Styela clava: one gene and its partners. The protein of the gene in region 4 binds, or shares a complex with, the protein of the main gene of each other region. Links are inferred from orthologs where the notes say so. Each region holds a gene or a part of one and is shown on either strand. Other genes may lie near its edges.

Region 1 (8,801 bases), on a different chromosome or scaffold from region 4:
TTAGGAATTTTAAATTTGCCAAAACGACCTCAAACCTCCCAGTTAAATATAGCCACGGTGATGGAGAGCCTTTTAGAACAATCAGGAGTGGAGTCGAAATATTCAAACTTTCAATGCCAAAATAATAAGGCTATGGATAGGGATAGGATTTTATTTACAATCCTGATTTAACAATACATAGCATATTTGTGCAAAACTTGCAACATCACAGAATATTTAACTGTAGGTAATATTGAGACACATAGATTGTAATCTATCATTATTAGGAATAGTGAGCCCCGAAAAAAAAATCAAACTTTTTTATCTACAGTAAATTATACCAAGTTGTTCATCACCGAATTAATTTTTATTATTCTCTGCCTGAGATAAAAACAATGTAACGACAAAAAACATACACACCTCGTGAATCCACCATCTGTTTTTGCCGATCTGAGATTGAGAAACTGTCTTAATTTCTTCAGAGCTTTATCCCTACATCTTTTATCGTTTCCAGCTAACCGTCTGGCAAATTCAGCCTCGATTGAAGCAGGAGCCACAGCCATTTTGGGCTTTTCAAACAGGTAAATTTAAAATTATGACTAAAAGTCAAATATGAAAAAAACATAAATATATTTTAGAATATTATGGACATTAATAAATATTTGACTAATTCGTAATAAAGAACTTGGAACATGTGAACAATAGCAAAAAATTGGCATTTAAAAATATCAAAAAAAGATGCTAAATTTCATGCTCAATTATCAAGAGTTCACAATCAGTTGTTTATAAAAAACACGCTTTTCGACTATAAAAGCCATGTTTAGCAATCGGAAAGAGACACTGAGAAACAATATTTTTTTAATAGGATGGTCAATGTCAATACATTTATCACATTTAGTTTAAATACTGCAATAAAATGCCTGCAATACTGCCCAGTGACATCTCTCGATAGAACTGCCATCATTTTCACACCATGAAACAATATAAAGAGCATTCTTATACCAAATATAGATTTATAGCCAATTAATAAAAGGTATAATCCAAATATGTAGCCTACCAAATGTAGCCTGCCAAATGTAGCCTGTCAAATATGTAGATAATTTAACAAACTCAAGTTGCAATCAGCAACTCACTAGGTAATGTAATAACCTGTAGGTAATAGGTTCTGCCACTGATTCATTTGCAGCCAAGTCAAGTTCACTAAAAAAAAATATTTGATTGTACCTGTATAATAATATAAGTTAACAACAACATTTTTAAAACTAATTATCGTTTCCGGTAGCCTATCAATCATAATCAGATCATAGTTACTTTGAAACAGCTGATTTGACTTTCTTGTCATTAAAAAACAATTGTCCTTCATCAAGCAAAATTTTACTTGTAATATTTAATTCTTCCAATTGAGTTTTACTGTTTAATTTTTCCATCAAATTAAGCAAAGTTGTTTCACCATTAAGAAACTTTGCAATTCCATGGGTAGTGAAGCCAATTCTATGATCAGTCACACGATCTTGATGATAATTATAAGTCCTAATTTTATCGGAACGCTCCCGATTTTTGACCTGCTGTTGACGAGCTTTAGTGAGAGCACTTTGTTGCATACTATGTTTTTCTGATGCTAATATAGCTTCTAGCATTTGCATAGCACGATCCTTATTATCATGTTGAGATCTTGTAGCATTACATTCAACAATCTTTCCAGTTTTAATATGTTTTAATCGAATTGCGGATTCAGTTTTATTTGCGTGTTGACCACCTGAAGAATTAGAGCGTTTAAAACGTTGAACCTCCACATCTTTTTCATCAAGTGTTTCAGTTCGATTGCTAAAAACTGGAAGTAAAGCGACGGATGCTGTACTGGTGTGTATTCGTCCAGCTTTTTCTGTCTCTGGCACACGTTGTACCCTATGGGTACCAATCTCATTCTTAAACAATTGATACATATTTCTATCTATAAAATTTATATTTGCTGAAGACTTCTTCAATCCTCCAATATCAGTATACTCGACATTTAAAATTTCAAAATCATGTCCAAATCTTATACAAAAAGATTGATACATTTCGAGTAATTCTGATGCAAAAAGCATGGCTTCTTGACCCCCAACGCCCGCTGACACTTCGAGAACTGCGTTGGAAACTTGATTATCACCGTGCATTATTTCAAAAAGCTTCGACACAATTATTTCATTACATGACTCTATTTCTTTCAAAAGTTCTTCTTTTTCATCTTCTGCAATTTTAATTAAATCATCTTTTTCATCAGATTTAGCTTCAGTTAATGCTTCAGATACAAAAGATTCAACTTCTTTTAAATTATCATGAACACCGTACAGATTATCAATATCATTGTTCAAATTTTCCAATTTATGAATCGCAACCTTAGGATTGCTCCCAAAAAACTCTAATAATGAAGGTGGCCATTTTGTCTTTGAGCTAGATTCTATATTTAAACGTCCATAAGCAAACTTGAAATAATCAAAAAGATCTTTATGGTGAATCTTCTCTCCTTTCATAATCGAAGACGTAGACAATTGAACAGCATGTCTGATAATGCCACAACATGTAACTGATTTGTGTAATAATTGAGATTTATTGCAACAAGTCCGAGTGAGGAATGTTAGAAACATAATACAGGTTAATCCTGTAATTATAGTCTAAATAACAAACCTAGAACTGATGAACAACAGAATAGCAAATTCACAGATTCCAAAAATATCCCCAATATCTGAATATTTAGATATATGAAAATAAATAAGATGAAATTTGGTAGGAGACATTTCTTTAGTTCTTTACTGCTGTACTGCCTAACTGATACAGTGATATGGGACATGCATGCAATAAATTAAATATAGATGTTACTTTGACAGATTCATATTCAGATATTCTATTTCCATCGTGCATGAAGTATTGTACCGACACAAGTAATAAAAAAAATGGTAACAATAATATCAATTGAAATAAAGAGACATACAATATTACTGCAAGTGATAAATTGATCAAAATCTTAAAACTGTAACAAGCAATGATTTAGAGAAGAACATTTTGTTTGAGTAATAGGCGACTGAGTGGGGTGCCTTTTTGCATTGATAGCATTATGGAATTTGAAAAGAAAAAATTATGATGAATTATTTGACTGATAATTGTTGATTCTATAGTGAATTTAAACTATAAGTTATTTAGAACACTATATCATTGATATTCAGGGTCTCATGTAGTTCCTACCTAACATACTTCTAGTGGGCGTAGCATGACAATTTTTTCACGTATCAATCCTAACCCCCACCTGACTACACCATCCAAAAATTACATCATTACCACGTCACAGTGAAGTCTGAAAGTAATAGAGCCCTTCAAACTATATGAACTCGTCGCAACGATTCCAATAAGAGAGAGATCGATAACGTCGGTCAGTTCTTCTGTTCTTTAGCGTCGGCGCCAATGCCATTTCGGGCGATTGTACGTATATTTGGCAAGCTCAGTCTATGACGGGATTGTGATCTCGTAGTGACGTAATTTTTGGATGGCGTAGTCAGATGGGGGTTAGGATTGACATATCAAAAAATTGTTATGCTACTCCCACTAGAAGTACGTTACGAAAAAGGTACGAAAATACACGAGACCCAATATTCAGATATTTAAGTATTATCAAGGCATTTCAGTAAGTGTGGCCCTCGGCTAGCTTACGGGAGAGTGACAAGTGTCCATCCTCATTTTTTGTCCAACTTACGCCAATTGTCACTTCTACACTTCAACATTCAGTTCGACTGTCAGACTGTTCGATAACAATTCACTCATTCAGATTCTATAAGTTCAGAACTTTATCATAACTCACAATTCAGCAATTCTGTAATTGAATATTTCATGTTGCAGTGTTTCGTCCGCTTGAAACATGTAATAGCCTACCTACTCCACTCAATTACGCGAGTTACCGTATGTTATATCCCTATTCTACATGCGTCAGTCAGCAGACATATACATACATAAGCATATGAGGTCCCAACTTTTTTTTTTTGCCAAATTCAAATCCATTGCCAAATCGGATTTATACAAATGATAGTTTTGGTATATCCAAATAATCAAATATATATTTCAATATTATTGCATGAGGTCCAAATTTTATTTTATTTTTGTGATGTTATTTAGGTGATTTCATACAATGAATAAGTATACAATGAAAAGATTACGCAACTAACTGCAGCTAATAGCCATGCTGCAACAATGGTTATTTCCCGACCCTTGACCTCACCTCGCCAATGCAAAATATTACAATAATATTATTTTTTTTTTGAAGGTGTTTCAACGATCTGGTCATTATATAATAACTGAGGTTAAAAAAAATATTCTTATCTATATTTACACTTTCCGTAACTTTTATCTTCATTATGACGAGTATTGGGATAAGTTAACATTTGCATATTTGTCCCGGGGGGAAGGAAACCGATAAGACGGTCTTAATATAAGTTTATCCGACGCCATAATCAGCATAACAGCAACAATGGTATATATTTACGGAAAAACAAATAAATGAATATTGATCATGAAATCAGAAGAGCAAACCAAACCTCAGATTAGGTTTAAAACATACAGATATAGGATGGAAAGTTTTGCCAAGGAGGATAGGATAGGATTTACATATTTATCCCGGGGGATAGGAAAGTCGATAAGACGGCTTAATCATATGACGAACCACGGCCTCTCGTTCTGTTTTCGGAAGCATGGACTTGATGGTGGAGGAAGCCGTAACCGACCAGCGGTTACGTGAACCACCCTACGGCGGCGAGGAATCCAGCAATCCTCTCGCACATGATCATTCCCGCATGGGATTCGAACCTGCGATCCCACGAAGAGTAATCAGAAATGCGGTGGCGAGCGTATTCCTAACGCTTAGCACAATGCGCCACACCGCCGAGCCAAGAAAAGGTACGTGTTCACTAACCTGAAATTAATAAATGAATTCACACACACTCACATGTACCACTCGCAACCACAGAGATATTATAAAGTAAAAAAAACGCTATAAACTTAAAAGATAGAAAACAAAAAAAAAAATAAATAAAATCATAATTATGTCTGAAATTCCGCCTCCGATTAATTTAGAATTTCGACTCCGAGTCCCGCTACTAGCTTCACAATGGTAGCAAAGTGACTATAAATTCCGACTTTTTGACATTGATGAACGGCAACTAAACCTTCTCGATAAATGCAGAAATGCGAGGTTGGTATAATGGATTTTATTGGTGATTTCCGTGTACAAATGATATTTAATGAAATTCTGCTGTTTATGAGAGATCATATACGGCAATTATCGTAAAGTAGGCCTAGTTCTGTAGTTGGAAAGATAGGTACGGTAATCATATGACATTACCGATATGATTATTCAGCCGTCCTAGTTTGTACCGCACTGCTGATTTACAAGCTAACGGTTGTGTATTATTACTGTATTGCTGTAATGGTCTATATCAGTGGCCAGTGGTTCTCAAACTTTTTTAGTCCCAGAGCCGCATTTCAAACCTCAAAGTTATTATATTTGATGGTGTAGCGTACCGGCAATGTATGAAATAATTATCCAAGTTCAGAATATCTTCTAATATGATCTGACGTCAAGTTTTCTCTCAATAGTCCAAGTCTTTATGCTATTTTATGTCATTTATTAACAACTCGAACAGTAAACGATCCAAAACAACCAAACACTCCCCAAAGGAACGAAAAGCATAAAATAAAAATAACAGATACCAGGCAGTAAAATGCAAGAAAGACCACATACACAACAAAAACACTGACCAACCCTGAAATCCAAGACAACTCTGAATAAAAAACCAAATGACCCCTAGAATCTGGTACAATGAACTAGCTACTGCAATTTGTAAAACAGGCCGAAAGTAACTTATGACAGGCATTTAAAAAGACTATGAACAATTCTATAGGTGCACAACATTTGAACAATACTGATGAAAGCTAATTCCACGATAAAACTGAAAATACAACACTACGGTAAATGAACTGTAATGGCACTGTACTGGTAAAATCAATAACATGGTCCCTACGTCAGCCCACTGTCCAGCACAAAACATCCGACAGTCACACAACACAGACAAACATCCCTGAAGACCAGACGCATTCACACAGACATTCAAAACCCACCAATCTAACCGAAACACTCAGACGACTCCACTCTGTCACACACAGCATACACCAACAGACCACGCTGCCCCCGAGAACCGATCGACCGTGTCGCAGCGTCTAAACTGCTAGAATACCAAATATGGAAACGATATCACATGACGTCATTTAACAGGCAAAACAAGGGTCGTCACATTACCCCCCTCTTCTAGATGGAACATTATGAAAGAATGTTTTCATCTCTAAAAAAAATATTTGAAACACGAAAAGCAGTAGTCAAAACCAAATTATGTCCACAAATGTCTTTAAAATATGCAGGCCGTCTACCCTCACGCTTAAGCATCCGTAAAGTTTGTCATTCGGGATTGAGTCCACCAACGTCATCGAAACGACCAAATTGATGTTGCATATCTCCATTGGCTCAACAATGGCTACTATGTTAGATCTCCGGACGGCCAAGGCTGTTGTAGCTGAACTAGAACAACCATTCCCGAGCGGCCGGTATAACCACATCTTCACTATAGTCCCATGACAGCAGGGAGAAGCTGTTTGGTGCTGTACCTTAACATCCTGTCCCTCAAGAACAAAACGATGCGACGAATTTGCCAAGATAGTCCATCCGTGACCCTAGATCGGCGACGGCAACGGTATGCTCCACAGGCCAGCTTTCAATCGTCAGGTTGACATCAAGTGCACCATGAGACACTAACGACTCGCCACTGGCAGTACGCAATGGTACTGGAAAAGAATACAGTTCTGAAATGTCCGAATTTCCTGCAACGTCGAGTAAACAGCGGTGTCTATGAGCGAGACACCCGAACCGAATTTTCCGCAACGTCAAGTAAACAGCGGTGTCTATGAGCGAGACACCCGCACGTGACCCTGGATCGGCGACCACAACTGTATGCTCCACAGACCAGCTTTCAATCGTCAGGTTGACATCAAGTACACCGTGAGACACAAATGACTCGCAACTGGCAGTACGGAGTGGCACTGGAACAGGATGCAGCCCCGAAATGTTCGAATCTTCCTGCAACGTCGAGTAAACAGCGGTGTCAATGAGCCAGACACCCGCACCGGTATCAATCAAAAACAAAACAGGCACGTTATTGACCAGAGCCTTGACATATCATCCATTAGTCCAAGTAATAGAAAAAAAAATCATAGTTCATAGAAAATATCCTGGCGTGCTCTCGCCAAAAATTGTAGCGTACCGGCAATGTATGAAATAATTATCCAAGTTCAGAATATCTTCTAATATGATCTGACGTCAAGTTTTCTCTCAATAGTCCAAGTCTTTATGCTATTTTATGTCATTTATTGACAACTCGAACAGTAAACGATCCAAAACAACCAAACACTCCCCAAAGGAACGAAAAGCATAAAATAAAAATAACAGATACCAGGCAGTAAAATGCAAGAAAGACCACATACACAACAAAAACACTGACCAACCCTGAAATCCAAGACAACTCTGAATAAAAAACCAAATGACCCCTAGAATCTGGTACAATGAACTAGCTACTGCAATTTGTAAAACAGGCCGAAAGTAACTTATGACAGGCATTTAAAAAGACTATGAACAATTCTATAGGTGCACAACATTTGAACAATACTGATGAAAGCTAATTCCACGATAAAACTGAAAATACAACACTACGGTAAATGAACTGTAATGGCACTGTACTGGTAAAATCAATAACATGGTCCCTACGTCAGCCCACTGTCCAGCACAAAACATCCGACAGTCACACAACACAGACAAACATCCCTGAAGACCAGACGCATTCACACAGACATTCAAAACCCACCAATCTAACCGAAACACTCAGACGACTCCACTCTGTCACACACAGCATACACCAACAGACCACGCTGCCCCCGAGAACCGATCGACCGTGTCGCAGCGTCTAAACTGCTAGAATACCAAAACGATATCACATGACGTCATTTAACAGGCAAAACAAGGGTCGTCACAATGGTCACAATGCAATGTGACAAATATTGTTTTTTTGTTTCAATTTCATGTTGTTATTACTGTATTATTTATCTGTAGTGCATTACATTTTCAATTTCTGGTTGTATATCAGCGTAGTTTACTTTTATCAGTATTATCTTTTAGACCAGGGGTTCTCAAACTTTTGGTGTTGCGGAGCCCGTGAAGAGGTTGACTATTATTCACGGAGCCCCAAAATAAATTTTAAAATTGTTACTTTCCGATTAATATTCCTGAGTAAGTTAAAAGTACTTTACTTAATTTAAATGCTAAACCTTTTTTAACGGGTTAATACAAGTCATAAATAAATCTAAATTTTAAAGATAAATTACCGTATATATATATTGAGGCTGTAAATTTGACACTTGACAAACATATTAATAAATTAGGGGTCAAATCTTTTTCTTTTGATATTTGGTGACCGTACATTTGAACCCACGTACATTTGAACCCATGTGTATATCCACGGGTTTAATCTATATGCGGGTGCTAAAACCCATGGGTTAAGGTTAGTATGGGTTCAACTATCCGAAAAACAAAAAAAATTTCATAGGTGCAATAGCATACAGGTGCAATTGTCATGGGTTCAAATGTAATGGAACCATATTTATTGAGGCTGTAAATTTGACACTTGACAAACATATTAATAAATTAGGGGTCAAATCTTTTTCTTTTGATATTTTTAGAAGACCTAAAAAGTCGCTGC
Region 2 (6,898 bases), on a different chromosome or scaffold from region 4:
CGTGACGAATTTGCTGAGCGGCTAGTACACACAGAGGAAGAAAATAAGAGGATGAAGAATGAAATCGCACAAATGCGAGCTCGACACCGGTTGGAACTGGATCGAGTAAACCAAGAAAAAGAAGAGGAGCTTGCTGAAGTACACAAAAGAGTGAAAGCAGCAATTGTGAAAAAAGAAGAATCAGTTGCACAAATAAAACAACAGCATGAGTCCGCAGTTAAGCGTGCTGATCATCTAGAAGGCTTGTTGGAAGCACAACGAAAACAACTCCTTGGCAGGAAGAAATAGCAATATCTCCTGGTTAATAGAATTCACCATCAAATATCTTGCCTGGTCCAGCTTAAGGTCTTTGATTTTCAGCCCTGAGCCTAACATAATGTCATCGGTATAACCTTGTAGCTCCAGCTTTGTCCAAAGCTCAAATCGTTCATTTGGTCACTACATTGTCACATTGATGGTTTTATACATGCCCTACCTGGACTGTTTTGGTAGTTTGGGCGACACATGTGCCTTGTTCTGTATTTTAGCATAGCAGCGTTTTATCCCTCACAGAGAATAGAGAATATATTTTTGTACTAAAATGATTACTCAATTTCACCATGGGTATCATGTTTTACTGAAATGTTTTATTTTTTAGTTATTGCAAATTTTGATATATTTGATACATTATAATAGTTACTTTTCATTGTGCCGGCTCTTTTAAAATGGGAAGGTGAAAGAGGCAGGATAAGTGAGTAGTTCATTCGGATTGAGCACAGAAAGTAAGTAGGGTACGGCATTAAATATTAGGTCAGGGGGGGGGGGGGGCACAATGCTAGGCGTAAAACTGATTTTACTATCCACTTCTCAAGAAAACTCTCCGTTCTTCCTAGTTTCGTTGCTTGATGAGGTTATTTCACATGGTGTTCCTCCCTTTTTTAGTGCATGAATTGTTTGAACATAATGGAACTTGGAATCTACCAATCAAAATAACACTGGAATGATAAACAAACAGCGTGGCCACGAGCCATAAAAGGTTGGGAACCACTGTAAGAGGTGGTCTTGGAACATCACTTCATTTGCAATCTAATTGATTTTGGAATCATATAAATATCAAAATTGGGTATTATTCTTTTATTTCCTCAATCCGTTGGGAGAAGTTATTTTCCCGGCTTCCCTTTTTATACTTTGCTTATATCTCAAGAAAACAAGGATCAAAGAAAACGACAAACAATTAATAGGACGATAACAGCCCATTTTGACAGGCATTCGTTATGGGATAATGTTTCTAAGCGAATGCGGATATGCACATCCGTCTATGTGTATCACATTGCAGGCTTTCTCAATAGGATTGTGTTGAGATTTAAAACATAGACGTTCACTTTTAAAAATTTTATTCCATAGCAAAATGCTATTGGCACATAGAAAATAAGACTTACAATTCAATTACCTTCATACATAGATCTAGCATGAACTGAAATTACACAACTGCAACAGTTAAAAATGACAGAATGAAGGTAATTAGAGCCACAGGAAACTATGCATTTTATTTTGCTCAATATTAACAGATATACTATTTCCCAATGATATGCTAAGTTAAAATACATATGGTTCGCAATGCCACTTTGGGGGTATAGAAACAATAGTGTCAAACCATCACTATTGGAGGTAAGCAGTCACTGTTTAGCTTGTTTTGCAATCAAGTATTTAAGTAGTACATGTTTGGAAGCTACACTAGATCAAAGTAGGGTATACAAACATAAATAAAAATCGCTCTTACAACTTACCGAAAACAGCACAAACAAAAAGAAACTATGATAAACGCTGTTTTCGATAATTAGCAAGACCGAAAATAGATCGAAATGTTTTTATAAGTCTATGCACAATCACGGATTGTTAAATCAGTTTTTTTGTGGTTGGTATTAGTTCATTAAAAATCATTGAATCCTTTCCAATGCTTCCAACATTAATATCGAATTTCCGCGAACGACCACCATTCCGACGGGTGCAGTGGTCCCGTCTTTTCTGCGCTCTGTTCCATCATCCACAACTAGATTCATGAAAGGATCGAATCCTCGCAAAACTCCCGTAACAGATCGTCCACCATTCAACTTTAAATCCAATCTTTTATCCATAAACTTCTTCAATTCTGGTGGATGGGCCTTGCTCATCTTGATATTACGCGATACAATCCAACAGCAAATACCGAAACATACAGTGCGCAGAAAGTGAACTGAGCGCAATCAAAACGCGCGTCCTTATTTTAAGAAGTAGCTTGCTTCTCCCCCTAGCGTTTGAGCTCATCAAAAAGAATATGGAGTAAATGATGCAATATGCTTACTCTGGTCTTAACTTATTTATTAATTAATTATTTAATCATAAAATATACAAATAGGAAAAATATTCAACCAAAATTGTATTTATTTCCTAAAAAACTACCCGTAACGCTCCAGTGGCAAAAGTATGAGTAAGCATCTAATATATTTGCATTGTCAGATTTTGTTGTTCTGTCGTTTCAGAAGGGACGGATTTACATTTAGAGGTCTGGAAGTTACGTACTGTGCCGTACCTTGAAACTCCAAGCTATCATCATATATTTTTCTATTAGAACACAATTTTTTAGAAATTAAATCGCTGTCGCAGTAGTATAATTGAAGATGGCACCTCCGGCAATTGATGAGAAGCTAAAAAGTCCTACTGGAGACGAACAACAAATGGATATGTTTGACAGTGTCGAGGTGAGAAAACCGCAAACAATGTTAGATAAAATTTTGATGAGGCACTAATAATCAACATTACTTATTTTTTTGTATATTTTTTTTCACTGAGTAATTGATTTTAATACTTTTACTTTTAATACTACTACTTCTTTTAACAATACCTTTCCATCTAAAATCTGTATGCTTCAAACCCTAATTAAGATTTTGTTTGCTCTCCTGATTCTATAATCAGTTTTGTTTTCAATTATATTATCGTCTATTATGCTGATTATAGAGTCGAAATGAACTTATACTCATACTTAACAGTTAGCCTATGCTGGCTATATAGTCAGAAAATGAATATATATAACATATATACTTTCATGCTATAAGTTACCTAAAAGTTGAATGCCCAGTCTCTGAATTAAGGTTTTGATTTGTCAGTTTGTTGCCAAATTCGAAAAACTTTGAATATTGCTTTTTGGATTTAAATACCGGTAGTGTACCGGTAATAGTTATTAACTCCACACGACCACACACTTGAGTAACAGGTTTAAAGGTTGATAAAAATCACTATTTTTTATTTTATATTATTAAAAAATTTCAATTTCAGCGTGTTTTGAGCTTGCCATCCAATGATGCCTGTTTAACTTTGTATATGACTTTTTTAGGAAGCACTCGGTGAAGAAGTTATGAAAATGAGCAATGAGGAAATTGCAAGTCGAACGAAACTTCTTGATAATGAAATTAAGGTTTTCTTCATATTATTTTACCTTAAATAATATATTCACAAACAATTTATTTACGGTATATAGATATTTATATAATGCTCTTTGTTCTCAATTTTTTTTTTTAATCCCTCATTTTCAAACTGTTTGACAGAACTTTAGTGCCAAATTTTTGTTTTCACTGTGTAAGAATGCTTCGGAGCAAAATATACCTTATGTTGAATTGCTTTCCAGATTATGCGAAGTGAGACGATGAGAATATCACATGAATTGCAAGCTATGAAAGACAAAATAAAGGAAAATGCTGAAAAAATTAAAGTTAACAAAACGCTGCCATATCTTGTCTCAAATGTCATTGAGGTATGTATGATGTTGAAACTTGAAACTTCACTCTATATATTTTTTCTAGCCAGGAGGTTGGTACATCATGCTAAGAGAGGGGAATACGCTTGCCATCCCAACCTTCGATTTCTCTGCAAGGATTCGATTGCTTTGGGACATATGTAGGTACTCTTAGCCATCGTAGGGTGGTTCGCATAACCGCTGGTTGGGTACGGCAAATCCAAGTTCATTATCTGAATAAACTATTGCCATACCCGACATGGACTGGTAACTGGATGAGAGGCAGTGGTTTGGCAAAGGGATAACGCCGCCCTAAAGTCTCTCTGCTCCCCCAAGATAAATATGATATTCCTATTCTAAAAATCAAAAGATGCTTTTATGAACTGACATCAACTAATCTCATGTCATATTGATTGGTTATCATTATCAATGAATAACCCTTTTAAATCTTCTCTAAACGACTTTAATTACCGTATTTACAAAACAATGAAAAAATGAAATATTTCAGCTTCTTGATGTTGATCCTCAAGAGCAAGCGGAAGAGGACGGAGCAAATGTTGATTTAGATTCTCAGCGCAAGGGGAAATGTGCAGTGATTAAAACATCAACTAGACAAGTATGCCATCTGATTTTATATATATAGCATGTTATGTGTATACACTAATTCAGTGGTGCCCAAACTTTTTGTTCGGGAGCGCCAAATTATCAGGGAAAAAACTTTTAGAAAAAAACTGCTACCATCAAATAAAACTCAATTTTATGATCGTTAATGTGTACTTCATACCTTTTAAAGTTAGTAAATATGTAGGCCTAAGGAATAAAGGTAAAAGGTAAACTCTTCTTCCTCATCTCTGCCTGATTTTCCTCTGGAATGGTGAAAAAATCACTCATGTTTGCTAAACTCGAGTCAGCAGAATGATGAAAAAATCACTCATGTTGGCTAAACTCGATTCAGCAGATAAATAAACTGCAGCTCGCGAAATTCCAGTAGGTAGTGTCTATTTCTATCTTTATGTAACAATAGAGGCAGACACTACATAACAGAAAGTAAATTTGTTGTGGCTCAATTAGCGTCTCTTTGGAAACCGCTGCACTAGTTAGATATTGAGAGAACAATATAACTGAATCTGTTTCATTTATTTAAGTGAGTGTATGTAAACGGCCAGATCATTAGCAAACAGTCATTCATTAGAGGCTTTCAAATTTTGATTCTTCATTTTAATATAATTTATATCCGTTTTATGGTTTGATGAATCAATATATTCTCTCTTTTTGTTTTTAGACGTACTTCCTGCCTGTGATTGGTCTTGTTGAACCAGAAGATATGTCTCCTGGTGATCTTGTGGTAAGATTAATAATAGTGTTTGCCAGGTTGCTTCTGAAACAGATTTAAAAAATCTGGAATATAAACTTTGATTTATATACAGGTTGAATGACTGACTTTATTGCATTGACTGTGTGTGTTATATTTCGAAGTTTAAAATCCGGTACTGTACTCTAGTAACCGGTCCGGTAGTATGTGAACCAAGATGGCGGACACCGGAACGTAGTACGTGTGTGTGCCATGTTGGGTTTGGCCATGATTTTATTTCAATTTTCCTTATTTTAGTCCTATTACTAGTTCAGGGACTAGCCAAGTGACTCCCGTAGTATTTGTCCCTGGAATTATGGCCCCTGGAATTATGGCCTAACCCTAACCTTGCACTCGTACTACGTTCCGGTGTCCACCATCTTGGTTCACATACTACGGGAGGTCCCAAAATCCTACATGGCCATTTCGTTTTCAAATCGGAATCTTAATTTTTTTTTAATTTACTAAAGTTGATTTAATCCTTTCTTAAAATTACTCAGGGTGTAAATAAGGATTCATATCTAATATTGGAAAAGCTTCCAACAGAATATGATTCTCGTGTTAAAGCAATGGAAGTTGATGAAAGACCTACTGAACAATATTCTGATATAGGAGGACTTGACAAACAAATTCAAGAGGTGATCATTCATACAAAGTAGGAAAAAAATTAAACAAACAGTAACAAAAATCAAGAAAATTGTTTAAACCTTGTTTGTGCAAGTATTGGCAACTTTGCCGAATTTCCATCCTGTATTTTATCATTTTGTACCATGCCGAATTAAAAATAAATCTTATCTATCAGTATTGAAAAACTGCTTATTATTTACAGAAATTGTGGGATTAGTGAAAAGATTCATTGTCACTTATAATCTAGGATTCTATAGTTTTTTATCATTTCGTTACTAGTTAATCTTATTTCTTATTTTTTTCTATTAGTTAATCGAAGCGGTTGTTTTACCGATGACTCACAAAGATAGATTTGTCAGTATTGGAATTCAACCACCCAAAGGTGTTCTAATGTATGGGCCACCTGGAACTGGAAAAACTTTGTTGGCAAGAGCTTGTGCTGCGCAAACTAAGGTATTTTGAGTTTCAAAATTTAATGATAATTATGAAATACTTTCTAACTAATGAGGATATGCTCAAAGCAACATTACACACATTCACTAAGAACGTAAAAGACTCATTCTGGGCAAAATGGCAACTACGGTACCTACTAGAACACGGGTGTGCAACATTTTTTGTCGATGGGCCATATAACTAACATACTTCAAACATCTAGGTGGGCCACACGAAAAAATCAGTGTTTCCATGTACACAACAAATTAAGAAAGTTTCTGATATGTAAAATATGAGTTATTTAACATTAACATTTTAGTGGGAAAATTGAAATTTTGAGTTCTTGCATGGTTTGTTAATATCTGATGTTAACAAACTGTCAGATTAGGATTTTATGCTTGATCAGGGAAAATTTGGGTGTAGATAAGGGCCACACTAAATGGCTTGGTTGGCTGGGACCTCGGGTTGTGGCCCGCCGGCCACCTGCTGCGCCCCCCTGCACTAGAATGTCAAGTGCTTCTCTTACCATATAGAATTATGGGGATTCATCACATATCAGTAAATCTCTGTTGACGTGAGACTTGAATAGTAATCAAATATCACAATTAAGCTTGATTAATTCATATATGACTTAGTTAATAAAACTTAAATGAAACATATCAAAGTAATGAAATTAAACTATATTTATATATCAAGATTTTAGTTTCTCTTACTGTAATGTAGTTTTTGATTCTTTATTG
Region 3 (8,691 bases), on a different chromosome or scaffold from region 4:
ATGGTCGCAGTCGCTTACTACTACCATGGTTACCTCATAATGATTCATCATGAGGTAACTATGCTACTACTGTATTTTGGCTTGACATTCAAGTAAAACACGACACTAAACTAGACATATAGCCTATTACCAACATTTTCCCGTTTTTCTACTTTTAATATTTTGAATGAGTTTGGTTTGATTGTTTATGTATGTAAGGTACCGTAATCTAGCAAAGTCGGCAGCGTATTAAATCTCCGTTTTAGAATTTGGGTTTGTTACTTTTCTGTCTATTTTCGGTATATCCGTATTTTCTATGGATATCGCAACAATCTCACTATCTGGCACCCACTAGAAGACGGGCCCTATTTGTTTTTTAAATTTGTGAAGTTGTGGACGCAATTTCTGATTAGCTTTGAACTTTTATATTGATTTTGTTCCCTCCGCTCATAATACGCATTTTGTTTTTCTAAATGTTAAGACTTGCTATCACTCAACTTGTCGAAGGGTAGACTCACTGCTCGATTGGGGCTTCCTTGGATTCATTTCCCATCCTTGAATCCGAATTAGTCAATAAAGCAATCAAATTGAGTCAATACACCTGAAAAACAGCTGGCCAACTAATCTCATAATACATGGACTGCTAGCAGGAGAAAATGTGTAAAAATTTCAATTAAAAACATGTTATTTATAAACACCAGTAATGAACAACGGTTTTCATATTTTGTATACTTAAAACTCTCGTAATTCTCTTCTTGTAATTTTGTTTTTGATAAATGAAAATAAATGACATCCCCCAAAATAAGCTCTATCTAGTGCCAAAGAAAATTGAAATAGGACCCTTGTTTGTTGAGTCCTATTTTCGGGGAAACGCGGTAGTAATCAGCGATTTTAAATTGTAAACTATGCACACGCTAACAAGCAACGTTGACCATGTTCGTAACGAATTAAATAAATTCACCAACTGAATATTCTAAATTCTCTGATAAGACGTTCTAGATGAAATTTTTTTCTGAATTCGCACAATAGTATCTATCTATACTTTTAGAAATGCAAATGCAAAGAGGTCGAAATTCATAGTAAGCCTGAGGAATGGCAGAATTTTATTCATATCTAGATCTGAACTTCTAAACTCGCAGCTAAAAGTTGATTTGAACTGATTCCTGAAATAAAATCATGCGGACATTGCTAGATAAGTCATGAACAAATGAAGATTTTTTCAATTTATTCTGCAGGATAAGAATGTTGAAAAATTATGACGAACAAGTCCACATGACAAACCAGGTCTCTTGTCAGATTACCAGTCCAAGCTGGGTATGATAATAGTTATTGTTCTAGTAGCATGAACCTGAATGGGAATATGGTAAAGTCCGAACAAATAAGGGTGTATCTCCTCCTCTGCAAATCTCCAATGCAATGCTTACAGATTGGTTGGTGCATATGATTGATATTTGATACCGATACACCGATGTTCGAATAATTTCTATTTATCCAAACTTTTGATAAAAAACTGGAGTTAAGGGTGGTAAGGTACTTTTAAAACCTCTTCTTTCTGATTATTTCTGGTTTCCATTGAACTGGATGTGTTTCTTCAGAGGCTTCATCATCTTCTTTATATATTTTTATTGTCTTGTCAGCCTCACAAGTTACCAAGCGACTCTCACTACGGTCAAATGCAGCAGCATAAATTCCACTTTCACTATCCAAAGATCCAGGCTGAACAGGGGCTTTTGTTCTCTGAAAATTATGTCCTGTCCTCCAGTCCCACATATGAAGAGTTCCATTATCAGCACCAGACACTAAAACTCCATCTGAATTGAGAGCTAAACAGTTTACTATGGCATTATGGCCAGAAAGATTTTGTATGAAATTCCCATCTGGAAATTTCCATTGTTTGATGTTGTCAGGAGAAGCACTTGCAAATGTGTATTGTCTAGGGTGAAGTGCTATTGACCGTACACTTTTTTTATGATTTGTAAGCACTGCCCTTGTTTTTCCAGCAGCAAGATCCCACAGCCTGACAGTACAATCATGAGATGCTGTGATAACCTGGGGTTCAACACTTTGGCATTTTACATCTGCAACAGTGTTAGAATGACCAGCAAGAGTCATGATATTTGATTTTGTCCGCATATCCCATACTCTTGCAGAGGAGTCTCGTCCGCAAGTGACCAAAATATCAATAGTTGGATGTAAGTCAAGGGCGTAGCAGGCACTTAAATGTCCGTGGTAGTGACGAACAACTTTATTCTGTTCTAGGTCCCAGCATTTTACCAGTTTATCCTCTCCACATGAAAACAAATATGGATTCCTCGAACTAACTGCCAGTCCTCTAACAGTGCTTATATGCCCAGTGAGAGAAAGCTTCAATTTGCAGCTTGCTAAGTCCCAAATTTTAATAGTACGATCGTTTGACCCTGTAACAAACCATTCATTTCCTGGTTCAAAGGCAACACACCGAACCCATCCAAGATGGCCACTTATGACTCTATAAAGTTTCCAAGGTGGATGCCATTTAGGTTTCGGCATTATTGACGCTTTTTTCATTGTAGCCAATGCTTTGGTGTTTTGATTAACAGCAACCAACGCTTGGCTACTTGAGTCCTCAATTGGTGTATGTTGTGCTCCAAGTTTTGATGCTTTTACTTCGTTATCCATCTGGTTGTGTTGCTGTGTATTTTGTTTATCTTGCTGCTGTACCTGTGATGCCTGTTTAATATCCTTCGCAGTTGGCATGTGTAATACGGGGCCATATTCATTTCGCATCTTCGTGTTTCGGCGTATTGCTGCAGCTATTTCATTGACTGGCAATGGTGCAGCATGATCAGAAACAAACATATCATGTGAACGTTTCAAAGAACGAAAGACTAATGTATGTACAGAATGCTTTGTTACTTCCTCCATTTTGCTAAATTTCTTTATTCTAAATTTTTCTGAAAAAAAAACAAACGACTTGTTGTAAGTTGGCCATATTTGAAAATGATGTACAGAATAGCAGCATTGCCAATGCATTGGCACTTCCACAAATATGATAGTACTAGCTAGTATTCCGATTTACATTTAATTTATGATCACCAATAATCAGATTGTAAAAGAATTTGAGTACCTACCATCAAGTAGGAAGAAAAAACTAAAGTATGAAATCGTTTAAAATATAGGCCTTTTATATTACATGCATTATATATAAAAACTATTTTCCTCATACAATCACAGGCCTTTTTTAATAAATAGTTTAGCCAGTTTTTCGATCAAGTAAGCTAACAAGCTTGGCGGTGTGGCAATCTTTCTGGACATCACAGTGACGTATTAGAGCCCATCAAACTATACGAATCGTCATCCAAGAGGCACAGACAACATCCAAAATCGAGCAAGCGATTTCTCTCATTTTTTTGTCGCAACGATCTCGATATGAGAGAGATCGCAAGCCACTTGTCAGTTCTTTATTATGAGCGCAGATGCCACTTTAACTTTGGCAAGCTCTATGACGTGATTGTGACGTCGTAGAGAAAAATTTTTGGCGGAGATGGCGTAACTTTGGATGGCATAGTCAGGTACCGTAGGGGTTAGGATTGACATGTAAAAAATTTGTTATGCTACGCCCACTGCAAGGGGCGACGGACAACTCGGCTACACAAACAACTCACAACAGAGGTCAGTGTCAAGTACCGGTACGTTCTGACGTTAGGTCAGTCTGTCAGTAGGTACGGTACCGTACGAAACTATGCAAGAACCACGACTGGATGGCGGATGCTACGATCAATACATACAGACATAGGGTACGGTACTATGCCTGCCACATAACAAGCACCAGAGAACGGCGTGCAAACTCCGAAGTCACGGCATGGAATCAGTGAACGAGTCACACCGCCTGATATCGTGTGCAAATCTACCGAAAGCGCGTTAAAACCTACATTCTGTGTGTACAACTAACACAATATTGTCCTATTTGAGAAAACTTGAATGTACAAGTGTAAAATTATTCAAATGGAACATCCCAACTTATGCTTTGACTGACTCGGAGCATGGTCTATGCTCAAGAGTCCCGACTATCAAACCGTAAATAAATACTAATACCGGTAATACTAATACAGTGATACGATCAAACGACGCTGGGGATGTGTTTGCAACTTTGCATGAGTCAAAGGTCAATTATTCGGCTAAACTAAACTAGGGATCACCAAACTTTTTTGACCGCGGGCCAGGTATGACTCAAACTGAGTTGAAACGGGCCGGACAAATATTTTTGTCAACACAATAGACTCCCAAAAGTTGGGAAATCCATCCAACAATATAAATTCTACATTTCTGAAGTCTCGAATATTAAATTCTATACCGCAGAATAGGGACCTTTCCCCGAGCATCGACTTCCTTGTTTACTTCGTGACATTGGCCAATCAGCAAGATGCAGAAAGGAAAGTAACAATGCCCCCTTTTCGCATCCGCTCAGACCGTAGTAGCAGAGCCATTATTTAATGGCTATGGTAGTAGTATATATTTACGCTCAAACACTTTTTTCACTCAGACAGATTTTCAAACGTGGTCGTAAACACTACCTCGTTTTCGCGTTTTTGAACTGTATTCGATAGTTTTCAGTTGTGTTTCGGAAACTTAAATATAAATCAGATAATTCCATGATGACTCTGTCTTCCTAGGAGTTTTAATTTAATTGCAGTAATAAAAAATTAGTATAGAAATGGCTGTGATAGACTAGGCTAAAATTCTTTACCGGTACTTTTAAAAAAACAGATTGTTATATGCGATGAATCATATTGATGGTTTGAAACACATACCCCATTTTACCGGCGCCAACTCGCAAAAGCACTCTCAATATAGCCACGAAAATTTTGCAATGATAAAGTATAGGAAGAATTTTTCGGGAGGCAAAGGTCGGGGAAAGGTCCATAGATTAAGAACAAATATATATGATTTATAACCAACTATCCTGAGGTTAGCTGCTGGCAAAACAATTGCTCTCATGAATATTCGCATGTAAGCAGTACACAAGTTAATGTGACTTGTACTTTAGGCATAATGCACGTTTGACGTTCATTTTAGCACGAGAAACGTACACAGCAACAGTACCGCTGAAAGCACGCGCCACGAATGGACGAGTGCATCCTTCGCAGAAAACGTTGCCTACCGGTAGAGAATTTTAGCCTATTTTATCACAGCTACTTTTTCATTACTGTAATTAAACTACAACTCCTAAGAAGGCAAAATGATGATTGACTTATTGGACACGTAGTGGACATAACGATCGTTCAATATTATGTTGTTGTTCTTGTTCTTTGACACGTTTTTAAAAAGTCGCTTTTCTCTTCGAATACTGGACCAATTGCTTTGAAATTTTCAGTGGTTAAAGATTAATTTTTTTGCTAGAAGGCTATTACTTTTATTTATTTCAAAATTTTGCGTGAATTCTATGAAATTTGATATTTCGTCTAAAATTTTGCTGTATTATTTTTTATCCATGGGAACACGGATTTTAGTCAGTGTCATGACTGGCTGTACGTTTTGATTCTGCAAAATTCTTGCTACTGGAAATTCAGAACTTTTTTGAGGGTACCGGTAGCGTCAAAGGTACCGGTAAGGACTGATTCGCTCTGGTCTAACGTGTCCATATATTTGTGCGTAGCTCTCTTGTTTGATTCATACTTCGGAATCACGACCAAAAACTAACGAAAAGCATTCAAAATCGCGAAAACGAGGTTTACGACTAAAAATATGTCGAGTGAGCGACAAGGTTATTTTATCCAACCAGTAAAAAACAATTACATACAATATTTTGAAAGTGGTAATCGTACAATTTCACTGTGGAAGGGAAGCCAAATCTGGGTTTAGAGTAGCGACACCCAAGGTTCTAATATCTAGTTTAAAAAAATCGGGTGATTTAATTATAAAAATACTGTTATTGGCGGGGAGTACCGTATGGTTTTGGCGAATTTTATAATTAAAATATATTAATAGAAATAGACAACTACTAGAAATTAGATACGAGCTCGGACGCCGGGACAAGACGTTAAAAAGGGGGACTGTCCCGTATAAAACGAGACGTACCGTAAAACCGGCTAACTTCGGATGCCTTGTAACTTCGGATGAAATTTTCAATCATTCATATTTCAACTAAATTTCGTCGTATTGCGCTTCTGTCGGTTTCTATAGTAAGGCCTCACATATCTGAATCTGCCGTAGCCTCCAATCGCTCGATTTGATTTTTTATCATTCAAAAAATCATATTTTACCAAAAAAATGACACCGTTTTTTCGAGCGGCTCAAATCGTGACTTCTACAGACGCTACCTTCGTCAAATCACCGCCAAGCGCTAGAGAGCGTACACAATGTATACAAAAAAATACAGTGATCACAAGGTGTCGTACGAGATTCGAGTGAAATCGATTATTTTGATTTAAAAATTACATCAAAATATCGACGTTTTGATGATTACGTACAGCGTGACGTCAACGACGCAAATCCCGTTCTCTCTCTTCGTAGCCGACGTCACTTTGCGTAGCTCGTGCGTTACTCGCTGCGACATTTGAACGCCAGACATCGCGGCGCCCAGTTTTGTGAAATTTAAAAATTATGCTTATCCATGATCCTAGTCACTAAATCCTACAAAAAAAAATCCTATTTAAAAATATGGGTATGCATACGCTTAATGCATATGAAATTTGTCGATTTTTGTTTTTGCATACTTCCTCCGACACCGATAGATATCGTAGCAATTGGTAATACGTTAGGCCTGAAACATGTATCTATACGATCATAATGATTAGATATGTCTGTAGATTAGATATGTCGGCAGATGATAATAATATCGTTAACAGGTGAGCGTAGAACTCTACATACATGCACACAGCAGGAGGTTGGACCACATACAGGTGAGGCGCAAAATGAAAAAAAGTGGCAAAGTTTCTTTTTGACGTTTTTATCCGTTTATTGTCATTTGACTTTATTAAGTGAAACGAAAGCGAGGATCGAAAGTCACACCGGGCAGGAACCTCTGCCGAGCCGATCAACGGGGAGCTCTGAGAAAATCAGAAAATATGAAAAGTGATAATCAAGACGAAACCTGCTCTGCTTGTGGATTATGGAATGATCCAAATGGAAGTACGGAAATTGAGGTGGAATGGGTCGGTTGCGAAAGCTGCAGCGAAACACATTGGTTCCACAAGAACTGTTGCAAAGACCCGTCTAACCCATGTGGAAATGATTACAATTCTTGATTTTGCCAGCGTTTCCATCAATTCATCTGTTTATTTTTAACTGTCGAATTTTTGTTCATACCTTACTTGTTCCATATTGCTTTTTGATTTCAATTTTTACTTTTGCCAGTGTTTCATTCGATTCATCCGTTTATTTTTAATTGTCTAATTTTTGTTCATTCTTTACTTGTTCCATATTGCATTTCAATTTCAACCTACACCAGTGTTAGGTACTTTCAATTCTTCCGTTTTTTTTTTGTTAATCCTTTTCTTGCATTGAAAATAAACGATCATAAAAGAACGAACTAGCATTTTGCAATAAATTAGGAGTAGTTAGTGAAATATATACGAGTTATAATAAAGGACACAAGAATAAATAGTTAAGCTTCGCGAAGCGGCAAGAGTAACGTCACGTAGTAACGTCACGTACAAACGTCAGTATTCAACACGCAAGACAGGTCGTGGCGGCGTAAGGTCTATTCAGCGACGTTGTCACGCGTCATTGCTTACGCAGACATTTCTCTCTCACGACGAGTTGACGCAAAGAGAAAAGTGGCCATCCGAAGTTAGATAATTTTAGAATAGACGAATAAAGACAATAATTTCAATGAAAAAAGGCTTTGATGGATATGGAACCGACTTTATCAAGACGAGAATAGCCACAATGTATTATATTCCAAATTTGGCTTCAGTTGAACAACATGCGGCGGAGATATTGTTCAAAATATAGTGAAATCATCCGAAGTTAGCCGGTTTTACGGTATGGTAAGCCTATAAATATATGGTAACGCGCTAATTACAATATTTTATGTTTTAGAACCAAAGTTTTACCAAACGTATCCAATGAATATCACACACAAATTGGACCCATTTCCGTTTTTTTTGTTTCCTATTAATACGCAAAGCATATACTTAGTTATATTGTTTTTGAAAGCATGGACTTGATGGTGGAGGAAGCCGTAACCGACAAGCGGTTACGTGAACCACCCAACGGCGGCGAGGAGTCCAGCAATCCTCTCGCACATAACCCTAACCCTGCATGGGATTCGAACCTGCGAACCCACGCAGAGTAATTAGAGGTGCGGTGGCGAGAGTATTCCTAACGCTTAGCCCGTTGAGCCACACCGTCGCGTATATTAAAGATTCTATGAAGATATAGGCCATATATTTTTTATTACGTAATTTTAATTAACGTCGTATAGCAAATTATATATATTATTAAAATAGTCTAGTATGAGCAGTCGTTGAGTATGAGGGCAAATTAGGTTGTTTTGAACGGAAGCGATTGTTACGACCGGGGTAATTAAATATTTTTATCGGTAAATATCCATTTGTCTATTCATGAAGTACTTCTTTCTTTATAGCTACCAGTATTGGTACTTCTTTGGTATCCTAGTATCGTATACTACTATTACTAACTTGCCATATAGTGTAAAATATTCACCATGGATTCTCTCTTTAAAAACGTCAAGCTAAAATAGAATCTAGCCGTTTTTTTTCTGATTTT
Region 4 (8,727 bases):
CGAAAACAAAAAACTGGCTAACTAAGCCCATACCAGACATGGGCTGGTAGCTGGACGAGAGGCCGTGGTTCGCGAGATGGTCAAGTTGGCTTATCATCATTTCCCTTCCAAAGATAAATATGTAAATCCTATCCCAGTATGAGCAATTCAATACACAGTTAATATACCTGCACTGCATGCTTCAATAACTGTTCCGTATTCAACATCACACCTTCAGATGCATCAACGAATAGAACTACACCGTCACTCAGACGCATTGCAGCCGTTACCTGCGAAACAAACAATTAAAATTTTCAAAACAATGGTTTGTTGAATCACCGTTGATCAGCGGATCTGAAAAGAGCATATTTGGTATTTAGGTGACCTCTCATCAATTATTATTATAGACAGACTTGAATTGCGATGTTTAGGATAATACACAGTGAATCTGGGCAGAATTAAAGGCCCAGTGAAAAGTTCAACAGGAATGTCAAGATGAAACAGAATGCATCGAATTGATACAATAAAATTTTATATTTTGGGAGAAATTTAAAACATTTCCATTTGTCACGAAAATTGTCAGTTTGAGCTTTTGACACCTCTTGCTAAAAAATCTATATTGTAATTACAAAAAAAGGCTGAAAAAATAACAAATCCGATAAAACAGTGGGAACTTCTTTTTCGTGGCATTATCAAATTCAATCTCTATAGCAGCGGCAGCTTTTCGTTCATGCGACACCAAATTATCGGGCAAAAGAATTGCTGCCTTCAAAAAAGACTCAATTTTGTGATGCGTACTTAATAATGCATTTTTAAGTTTGTAAACACGCAGACCTAAAGAATAAATGCAATGTCAACAAAATGACGTAACATTTACACTTATTTATCTAATTGGGGACGCAAAGTTCAATTTTATATGTATAATAAGATATTACAAACTCAACACTTGCCTCATCTGAAAAGTTGACATGACCTGGAGAATCCATAACATTGATAAGATAATTTTTGCCTCTTGTATCAGGCAATACCAGAGTAACAGGCTGTGATTTAATGCTTAATCCACGTTCTTGTTCAGTCAATAATGTGTCGGTAAATCTCAACTGTGAATAATGAAGAAAAATAGATCAAGGATTTATGGCTGCAGCGTATTTGATATTTGGAATCCTGGATAATTCTGGATCATATTCAAATTAAAAAAATTCCAAGATACTGTTTCTCTAGCATGTATGCCCTAATAAACTCGGTAGGACACAAAAAAAATGATCGGAATAGATCTCAAGATTTTCAAACTTACGTCTTTAGCTTCTTTCTTTGCAATATCTGGATGAGTTTGTTCGATCAGACAATCGACAAAATTTGTCTAAAACAAACAATAACATGGATTGAATAAAGAAGGACATCATATTAATATTTAGAAACCAATGAAAAATGCTTTTCACTGTCTTTTTATTCTTCAGAACGTCCAAGATTTTTACCAGACACTGTGGCAGTGGCCAGAGGAATAAAAATAATTAATCATTGAAATTTGTATATTTAATTAAATGTTTTTAATATACAAATTTAACTAATATATTAAAAACAAAAAATTACAAGCTGAAAAAAATAAATTTTATTATTTGTATGAAGTGTTAGAAAATAATGAATGCGAAAGAAAAAAAAAAAAGATGGCAAGGAGATCAGCCACTAGAATTTCTAGTATCACCCGCTCTATTTACTGAGACAAGCTTGGATCACAGCTTTATGCTACAGCAAGAAGTATGACCTCTCATTTGGTTAATAGTCTGGACCAGTATGACCGATTCATTGATACAGAGATATCAGAGGCAGAAAAAAATATAGTCAATATTATTAAGTAGGTTCTATCCTGCACTAATTATTTAAATTCACATTAGCGAAAATGTTGTTAATAGAGCTGTAGTGTCGGGAAAAAATTTACAACTGACTCTGAATACGAGTTGGAAAAATTGGCTCCGTCTCTGGGTAAAAAAAATCCAGTTAAAAAATGCTACAAACATGGTACTAAATCACGAAGCACGTTGGCCAAAACCTTATTTATCCTATGGTTCAATTCATCTTATGGCATATTGACATAAATTTGCAAAAAAATAATTTATCAAATACCTTTCCATGATGCAAATGTCCTGCAATAACAACATTTCTTATAAGTTCTGGTGAGTCCATGAGATCAGCAAGATATTCCATATCATATGTAGTGTTTGGTAAATCTTGGACCATGAGTGCGAACTTCTTCCTTCTTATCGGAGCAATAATCGGTTCTGTCAGTGGCTGTGCATCTTCCTCTTGCACTATCGTCTGAGTAAAATTGTTGAAAAATTGCTCAACCATAAAATTTTAGAATATAATAGATATAGAATAACCACAACTTTGCAGGTTAATCCTTCGGAATTTGACAATTCCAGAAAATCAGATTGGTGGCCGAAAACAAAAAACACCAATATAGTCCTAGTAATTTTATCTAAAAAAAATTATCCTGAAACAATATTGAATAGTCGAGAGCTTTGATCCAAAAAAGCGAAACTTAAAAAAACTCGAGACACTTTTATATCCCTGTAAATTTTTATTGAAATAATTTGGGTCTAAATAGCCTCTAAACTTCAATTTGATTACTTTGAAACTTTTATTTCTCAGTAATATTTTTAACATTCACCCTTGTTTAATTTAAAATGTTGCAATTAAAACAATAGATTTTCAATTGAGTTGGTGAAAAGAAAATCACAAAAACTCACACAGTAGTAGGAAAAAAAAATCAAGTTGATTAACTATTGCCAATGCAACAGACAAACAAAAATTGCTAATTTTTCGATGAGTGCCTATTAGCCCGAATCTAACATATCTCAACATAGTGAGGATACATTGGCAACATATCTAAATCGCAGCCAGAAAAACTATACTGAATTATATAATGTAAAACTAAACCGAAAGTTTTACCTCGACTTCTTCACCGTAAACTTCTTCATGGGTTGGATAATATTTTTTGTCTTCATGTAAAACAACTTCCATCCCAGTTTCTAAAATTAAATTTCCTTATTTCAATATATTAATTGTGGGTGCGGTAGGTCAGTGGTTAATACGTTAGACTTAGCAGTAAATCCCATGTCCAGGGTGTCCCCTTTCTCACTATGGTAGCTTAATACCTAGCATTGGTCTCTTTTGCAGAGCCTTGTTCAGAGCAAAGGACTATGAATATACCATATAAGAAAAATGAAAATTGTATCATGTCGAAATTGATTTTGGATTTGAGAATTCTATTCACATTATAAGTTAGTTATCTAGAATTCAGACTAATAAAATTTCACAGAAAAAATTTTTGTTACTAAATCTGGCCGGTGTTAATAAAATCATGTTTTACATTAAATTCTGCATAAAACCAGTAATAAGTACTATTATTGAGTTTGGTGATCGCTATTTTTGATTTGCAATAAATTTATATGGGATGTAGGCAGACTAAAATTAAAATACCAACGCATGAAAACGAGACAAGAATCCATGGTTCGATATATGATCAAATTGACCTATTTTTTTTTCCTTTTACTAAGATTAATATCATAATCTACATATAAAAATATTGTGTGTATTACTTGCAATTCCACTGCCATCCATATCAACATCATTGTCATCGTCATCTTCTTGCCGATCGAGATCATGTGATGGTGACATGTCATTATCTACTTCCTCATCTTCTTCATCGGAATCTAACTCAGGTCCGATATAATTCCCAAACTCATCGTACATTTCTGTATCCATGGTGGAATATGTTTGTTGTATCTATATTATGTCCTTGTATAGATAAAGTAAATTGTTGAAATACACCTAAAAAGTTGGATATTAGGCAAATATTAGATGCATAGCTAATACTGCAGTAGGACACAGTTCTCTTGTTCCAAAATTTTCAGTCATTTGATTAAGTAAATAAATCTAAATTAATCGCAGCCGTCACATGATCAAAATTGTGAAGGAAGGAAGGAATCTGATGAGGATATTTTTAGATTAGGATTTACATATTTATCTCGGGGGAGAGGTAAGTCGATAAGATACCATTCCATGTCGGGTATGGGATTAGTTAATTAGCCTACTTGTTTTTTTGGAGGCATGGACTTGATGGTGGAGGAAGCCGTGACAGACCAGCGGTTACGTGGACCACCCTACGACGGTGAGGTGTTCAGCAATCCTCTTGCACATAACCATGCAGAGTAATCAGAGGTGCGGTGGCGAGCACATTCCTATCGCTTAGCACCGCTTAGCACGATGACCCACACCGCCACGCCAATATTGAGGCTCAGACTGTCTCGTAAAGAAGGGGTTTGCACTCAGCATCATGATTGATGTCTCTGCTATTGATGATTCTATTGATGCAGCTATTCTTGGAATCCAAGTCCAATCTGTGCTTTACTGCCTGAATAATTACTAAAAAATCTACTACTATTTACCCAATTTTTGTTTCGTGGGAATTTTTATATATGCAGTATACGTGCTGTTGTGAGAGATACAATCTATAGGTCTGCAGACTATGTACTAAATGCAGAAATGACCTACAAAAAGATGCAAGTCTCAACTTCAATTCAAGTTAATTCTCAGAAATAGGGCCTACTCCAATTCTTATCGAAAACATATTTATATAACATTCAAGTACTGAAGTCAAGAAGTAGTGGTACATGAGGTTTAATATGCTCATCTGATTCTGCACGCAGTTTCTATTTTTATGTACTCACTATTCAAAGCAAATAAGTCAATAACAATAAATTATATACCAGATATTGCATATTATATCAAGTTCATTCATCTAACCAAGTTCGGAATGATTTATCAATTTTTTCAATATTTCTTCGTGATCTTCAAGGTTTTAATTCTAGTTCAAACGTTATCAACATTTGTATTGACATTTTAAAATTGAGACATCATGTCATTGACATCATGTCCCATCCTAATTATCGAAGTTAATCTGATAACAAGAATATGAAGTCAAAACAACCTTACGCTACGTGCAACGCTACTGTATACCTCTGTGTATATCGTCAATTACAAATCTGCATTTGTCTAAAACTCCCTCGCACGAAACGCATGGGATACGTTTCCTACCTGCAACTCATCGTACCATGACCAAGTATGAATAGACGAATTTGACGCATTAATGATTATAAGTATAAGTATAAGTTAGTATAAGTTTATTTCGACTCCATAATCAGCATAACAATACATTTGACAGATAAAAACAAATAAATAAAAACTGATTATGAAATCAGGGGAGCAAACAAAACCTTAGATAAGGTTTATAACGTACAAAATATAAGATGGAAGGTTTTGCCAAGAGGAAGTGGTACGTGTTTACTCACCTAAAATTATTAAGTTATTTCACACACGCTCACATGCACCCACCAGCCACACACACAACCACTGAGAATTTATTTAAGTAAGAATAAGACGCGATAAATTTAGGGTATACTATACAGTAAACAAAAAATAAATAAATAAATACTAGAAAAGAAAATTATCTGCCACACCATATTGATATTTTTGTAATGATTGCCATTGCCAAATTGATCGATCTTCTAATCGTTAATTAAGATATAAAAGGAAGATTCTATTGAAAACATATTGCCAAGCTGATTATAGTTGGAGTCAAATGCCAAGTTGCCCAACCAAAGTTGCCAGAATTGGGTGCATGAAGAGGTGGGCGAGACCATTTCATTCCCCAAATTAGAGCCTATTATTGCCAAATTATAGTCCAGATTGTAGTAAGTAATTAAAGTTACCGGTAACACTAAAATTACTATAATTAAGTAAAGTAGGATGTGGAAATAAATTGGTTACAAAGGGTGTAAGTGAGGTTTTTCATTCTTGGGTATTGATTTCAGACAAGGATATAGGAATAAGGTTGTTATTTCACAGGATATCGGAGTCTTTTTTGATTTTTTTCTTATGTGTTTTACTTCATTTAATCACTTTGAAGTAACCTGAAAAACAAAAAATAAAACTGCGAGTAGATGTTTCAATGATTGGGTGAAGGGGAACGCTCTGAACTATTTATTACAGGCAAAAAATAATTGTTTAATTAAATGGGATGTATTGTCATTGTATAGCGATGGATAGATGATCTATGATGACATTCTGCTTGGGACAGAGAAAAAAATTTATCACACCATGCAAAAAACACACAAAATTTTACTATCTATACCTTGGCCAACAAGTCAACTCAAACACCATGCCCTAACATAAAACGCATGCATACATAAATGATATAAAAACCACATCCAATTACAATGACCCACAGCAAATTAAAATCTGAAGGGGAGAAACCAACATAGCTCTACTGCTCGCCTAGTTGCAATAAGTAGTAACCTTGCAGGAACAATATTGTACTATCTACAACCCTTATACCACCACTCAAACATAAGACCAAGCGTGTATGATAAGGACATCACAGCTAGAAAAACATAAAAACACGAGCGTGAAGTGATAGAATGTGTGCAGTTATTTAAAGAAAATATCATCCGGGTACGTTAGCTACCTATATATTTAAAAATATATATATATATACTCAAGCATGTCACAATACCATTTCTTTGGTGCTGGACTAGTTCTGGCCAAGTCGTGGCAAGATATAACAATATTATTATAGCTGTTCAACATTTTCATTAAAACAATAATGTGCAAGTGTGGAGTGTCCCAAGTTTTTGTCATCGAATACCACCAGTAGTAATTTTTAATATTTGGAAACTAAATGAGACTTGACTTGTTTTTGAAAAGATTTTTTGGACTTTAAGGTCTTCAAATTTAAGGAAAGAGAATTCCAAAGTTTGGGTCCAGTAAAAGACAAGGAATGCTGACTCACGGATTTACTCATGAAAGGTACGAATAAATCAGAACTGCTTCTTCGGTTGGAGGTATTTTTGACAAGTATGTCATTAAAGCAATTGGGCAGCGCATTATTATGGAAGTCGTGAGCTAGAGATAATATTTCAAATTTCATCATATCTTCAACCTTAAGTATATTTAGTGATTTGAAGTAAGATTCTACACTTTCACGTTTTCTTTTACCAAAAACTATTCTTAAAAAATTATTACAAATACTCTGCAGTTTTGAGACAAGTGTTTTATTACCATGAAGCCAGACTGAACAACAATATCGAATATGGCTAAGTAGTAATGATTGAAACATTGCTAGTAGAGCTGATTGATCAACACACTGGGATACTTTGGCAGAAACTGCTAGGTTTCTTTTTGTTTTACCAATAACATGCATTATTTGTGATTTCCATGACAGATTTTCATCAAAGATAACTCCTAGAAATTTTATTTCTTTCACTCTTTCAATTTCATTGCCATTGAGCAGTAGTTTTTTTGAACAACTCACACTTTTATGCTTGCTTGGATGGAATAATACAAATTTAGTTTTGTTAGCATTCAGAGATAATTTATTAACTAACATCCAGCTACGAATGTTGGTTAGTTCTTGGTTTGCAACTGTGAATAGATCTTCAAGGTTTTCACCATGAAGAATCAAGTTAGTGTCATCAGCAAACATGATCGACTCAGAGGATTTCAGACACCTGGACATGTCATTAATGTAAGCTAGAAAAAATAATGGGCCAAGTAAAGATCCTTGTGGAACTCCGTGCTTCATGACACAAATATTTGTAGAGAACAGATGTTTCCATGAGAATCTTGGTCCATGCGAGGGGTTTGGGCATTACTGTATGCGAGAACGATGCTGAGCTTGATAATTAGTGTCTTGCCTGTTACTCAAATATCGTATCTTACGCAATTTAAAAAAATGGCGCTCCAGAAGTGTGTGTACCAGTATTTTAGGGGGGGGGGGAATTTGGGGTTGGAAGATATTTTGTTATTAGTGATAAAACTATTTGTAACTTATAAAATATTCAAATACATTTGAGAAACGAAGCGATGCGGGATGGACCACAGCACTCCCGTCGGATTTTATTCAAACTAAAGAATCCAGGACATTCTTATTGGACACGTAGTGGACATAACGATCGTTTCAAAATTTTGTTGTTATTGTTATTATTTGTCTCCATCATTTTAAAAAAAATTGCTTTTCTCTTTGACTACTACCAATTGCTTTGAAATTTTCAGTGAGTAAAGATTGATTTTTCCGCCAGAAGGCTATTACTTTTATTTATTTCTAAATATCGCACGAAATCTGATATTTCGTCTAAAATTTCGCTGTATTATTTTATCCATGGGAACACTGGCTGTCCGGTTTGATTCTGTAAATTATTTCTACGCGAAACTCGGGAATTTTTTGTGGGTACCGGTGGCTTCAAAGGTAAATACTGCTTCGCTCTGGTTAACGTGTCCATATATTTGAGCACAGCTCTCTTGTTCTATATCAGTGAAACTTCTGCTGCCCCATTACCGCTGATAGAGATTTTACATTGAGTTTATATTTTATAACTTCCAGAGAAATGCACTAACTACTGGTTTCATCTTTCAGGCTACTCCTAATACGAGACTTAATAAAGTTCATAACCGAGAACAGAGATTCATAAGCATATATAGATAAAAACATGGAGTTAGGACAAGTTTTTAGGACACAAAAAAGTGTCGGGAATGGCATCCCAATTACGCAATAGTTCGTTTTCTGCACTCCTCTTTTGTATTCCCCTACCTAATCGCTTATATATTTTTTCGAAATTCATTTATAGCAGTAAGTTAGCAAGAAACTCTAGCCAACATGAGCTTCGCGACTTCATAAATCAAGCATAAATG

The links.
Region 1: 116 kDa U5 small nuclear ribonucleoprotein component-like (region 4) and pre-mRNA-splicing factor ATP-dependent RNA helicase DHX16-like share a complex: the UniProt entries of both Homo sapiens proteins name them as parts of the minor spliceosome. The link is inferred for Styela clava from reciprocal best matches to the Homo sapiens genes EFTUD2 and DHX16.
Region 2: 116 kDa U5 small nuclear ribonucleoprotein component-like (region 4) and putative small nuclear ribonucleoprotein G share a complex: the UniProt entries of both Homo sapiens proteins name them as parts of the minor spliceosome. The link is inferred for Styela clava from reciprocal best matches to the Homo sapiens genes EFTUD2 and SNRPG.
Region 3: 116 kDa U5 small nuclear ribonucleoprotein component-like (region 4) and pleiotropic regulator 1-like share a complex: the UniProt entries of both Homo sapiens proteins name them as parts of the minor spliceosome. The link is inferred for Styela clava from reciprocal best matches to the Homo sapiens genes EFTUD2 and PLRG1.

What each region holds. Positions count from the first base shown.
Region 1 is NC_135261.1:8,620,282-8,629,082, forward strand, and holds the start of pre-mRNA-splicing factor ATP-dependent RNA helicase DHX16-like, read left to right. Parts: upstream 1-5,175; 5' UTR 5,176-5,194; intron 5,195-8,801. Other genes in the region: uncharacterized protein LOC120329709, read right to left, coding at 400-542; peptide chain release factor 1-like, read right to left, coding at 1,287-2,606. UniProt on the Homo sapiens protein: Required for pre-mRNA splicing as a component of the spliceosome. Contributes to pre-mRNA splicing after spliceosome formation and prior to the first transesterification reaction.
Region 2 is NC_135255.1:6,374,263-6,381,160, forward strand, and holds putative small nuclear ribonucleoprotein G, read right to left. Parts: upstream 2,232-6,898; 5' UTR 2,151-2,231; coding exon 1,917-2,150; 3' UTR 1,357-1,916; downstream 1-1,356. Other genes in the region: centrosomal protein of 131 kDa-like, read left to right, coding at 1-288; 26S proteasome regulatory subunit 6A-B, read left to right, coding at 2,637-2,717, 3,350-3,430, 3,641-3,766, 4,257-4,364, 5,031-5,093, 5,600-5,737, 6,036-6,179. UniProt on the Homo sapiens protein: Plays a role in pre-mRNA splicing as a core component of the spliceosomal U1, U2, U4 and U5 small nuclear ribonucleoproteins (snRNPs), the building blocks of the spliceosome.
Region 3 is NC_135263.1:17,385,856-17,394,546, reverse strand, and holds pleiotropic regulator 1-like, read right to left. Parts: upstream 2,941-8,691; 5' UTR 2,884-2,940; coding exon 1,516-2,883; 3' UTR 1,188-1,515; downstream 1-1,187. Other genes in the region: uncharacterized protein LOC144432066, read left to right, coding at 6,785-6,860, 6,940-7,205. UniProt on the Homo sapiens protein: Involved in pre-mRNA splicing as component of the spliceosome. Component of the PRP19-CDC5L complex that forms an integral part of the spliceosome and is required for activating pre-mRNA splicing.
Region 4 is NC_135262.1:13,318,604-13,327,330, reverse strand, and holds the start of 116 kDa U5 small nuclear ribonucleoprotein component-like, read right to left. Parts: upstream 3,810-8,727; 5' UTR 3,745-3,809; coding exon 3,579-3,744; intron 3,009-3,578; coding exon 2,929-3,008; intron 2,293-2,928; coding exon 2,101-2,292; intron 1,340-2,100; coding exon 1,274-1,339; intron 1,080-1,273; coding exon 930-1,079; intron 270-929; coding exon 168-269; intron 1-167. UniProt on the Homo sapiens protein: Required for pre-mRNA splicing as component of the spliceosome, including pre-catalytic, catalytic and post-catalytic spliceosomal complexes. Component of the U5 snRNP and the U4/U6-U5 tri-snRNP complex, a building block of the spliceosome.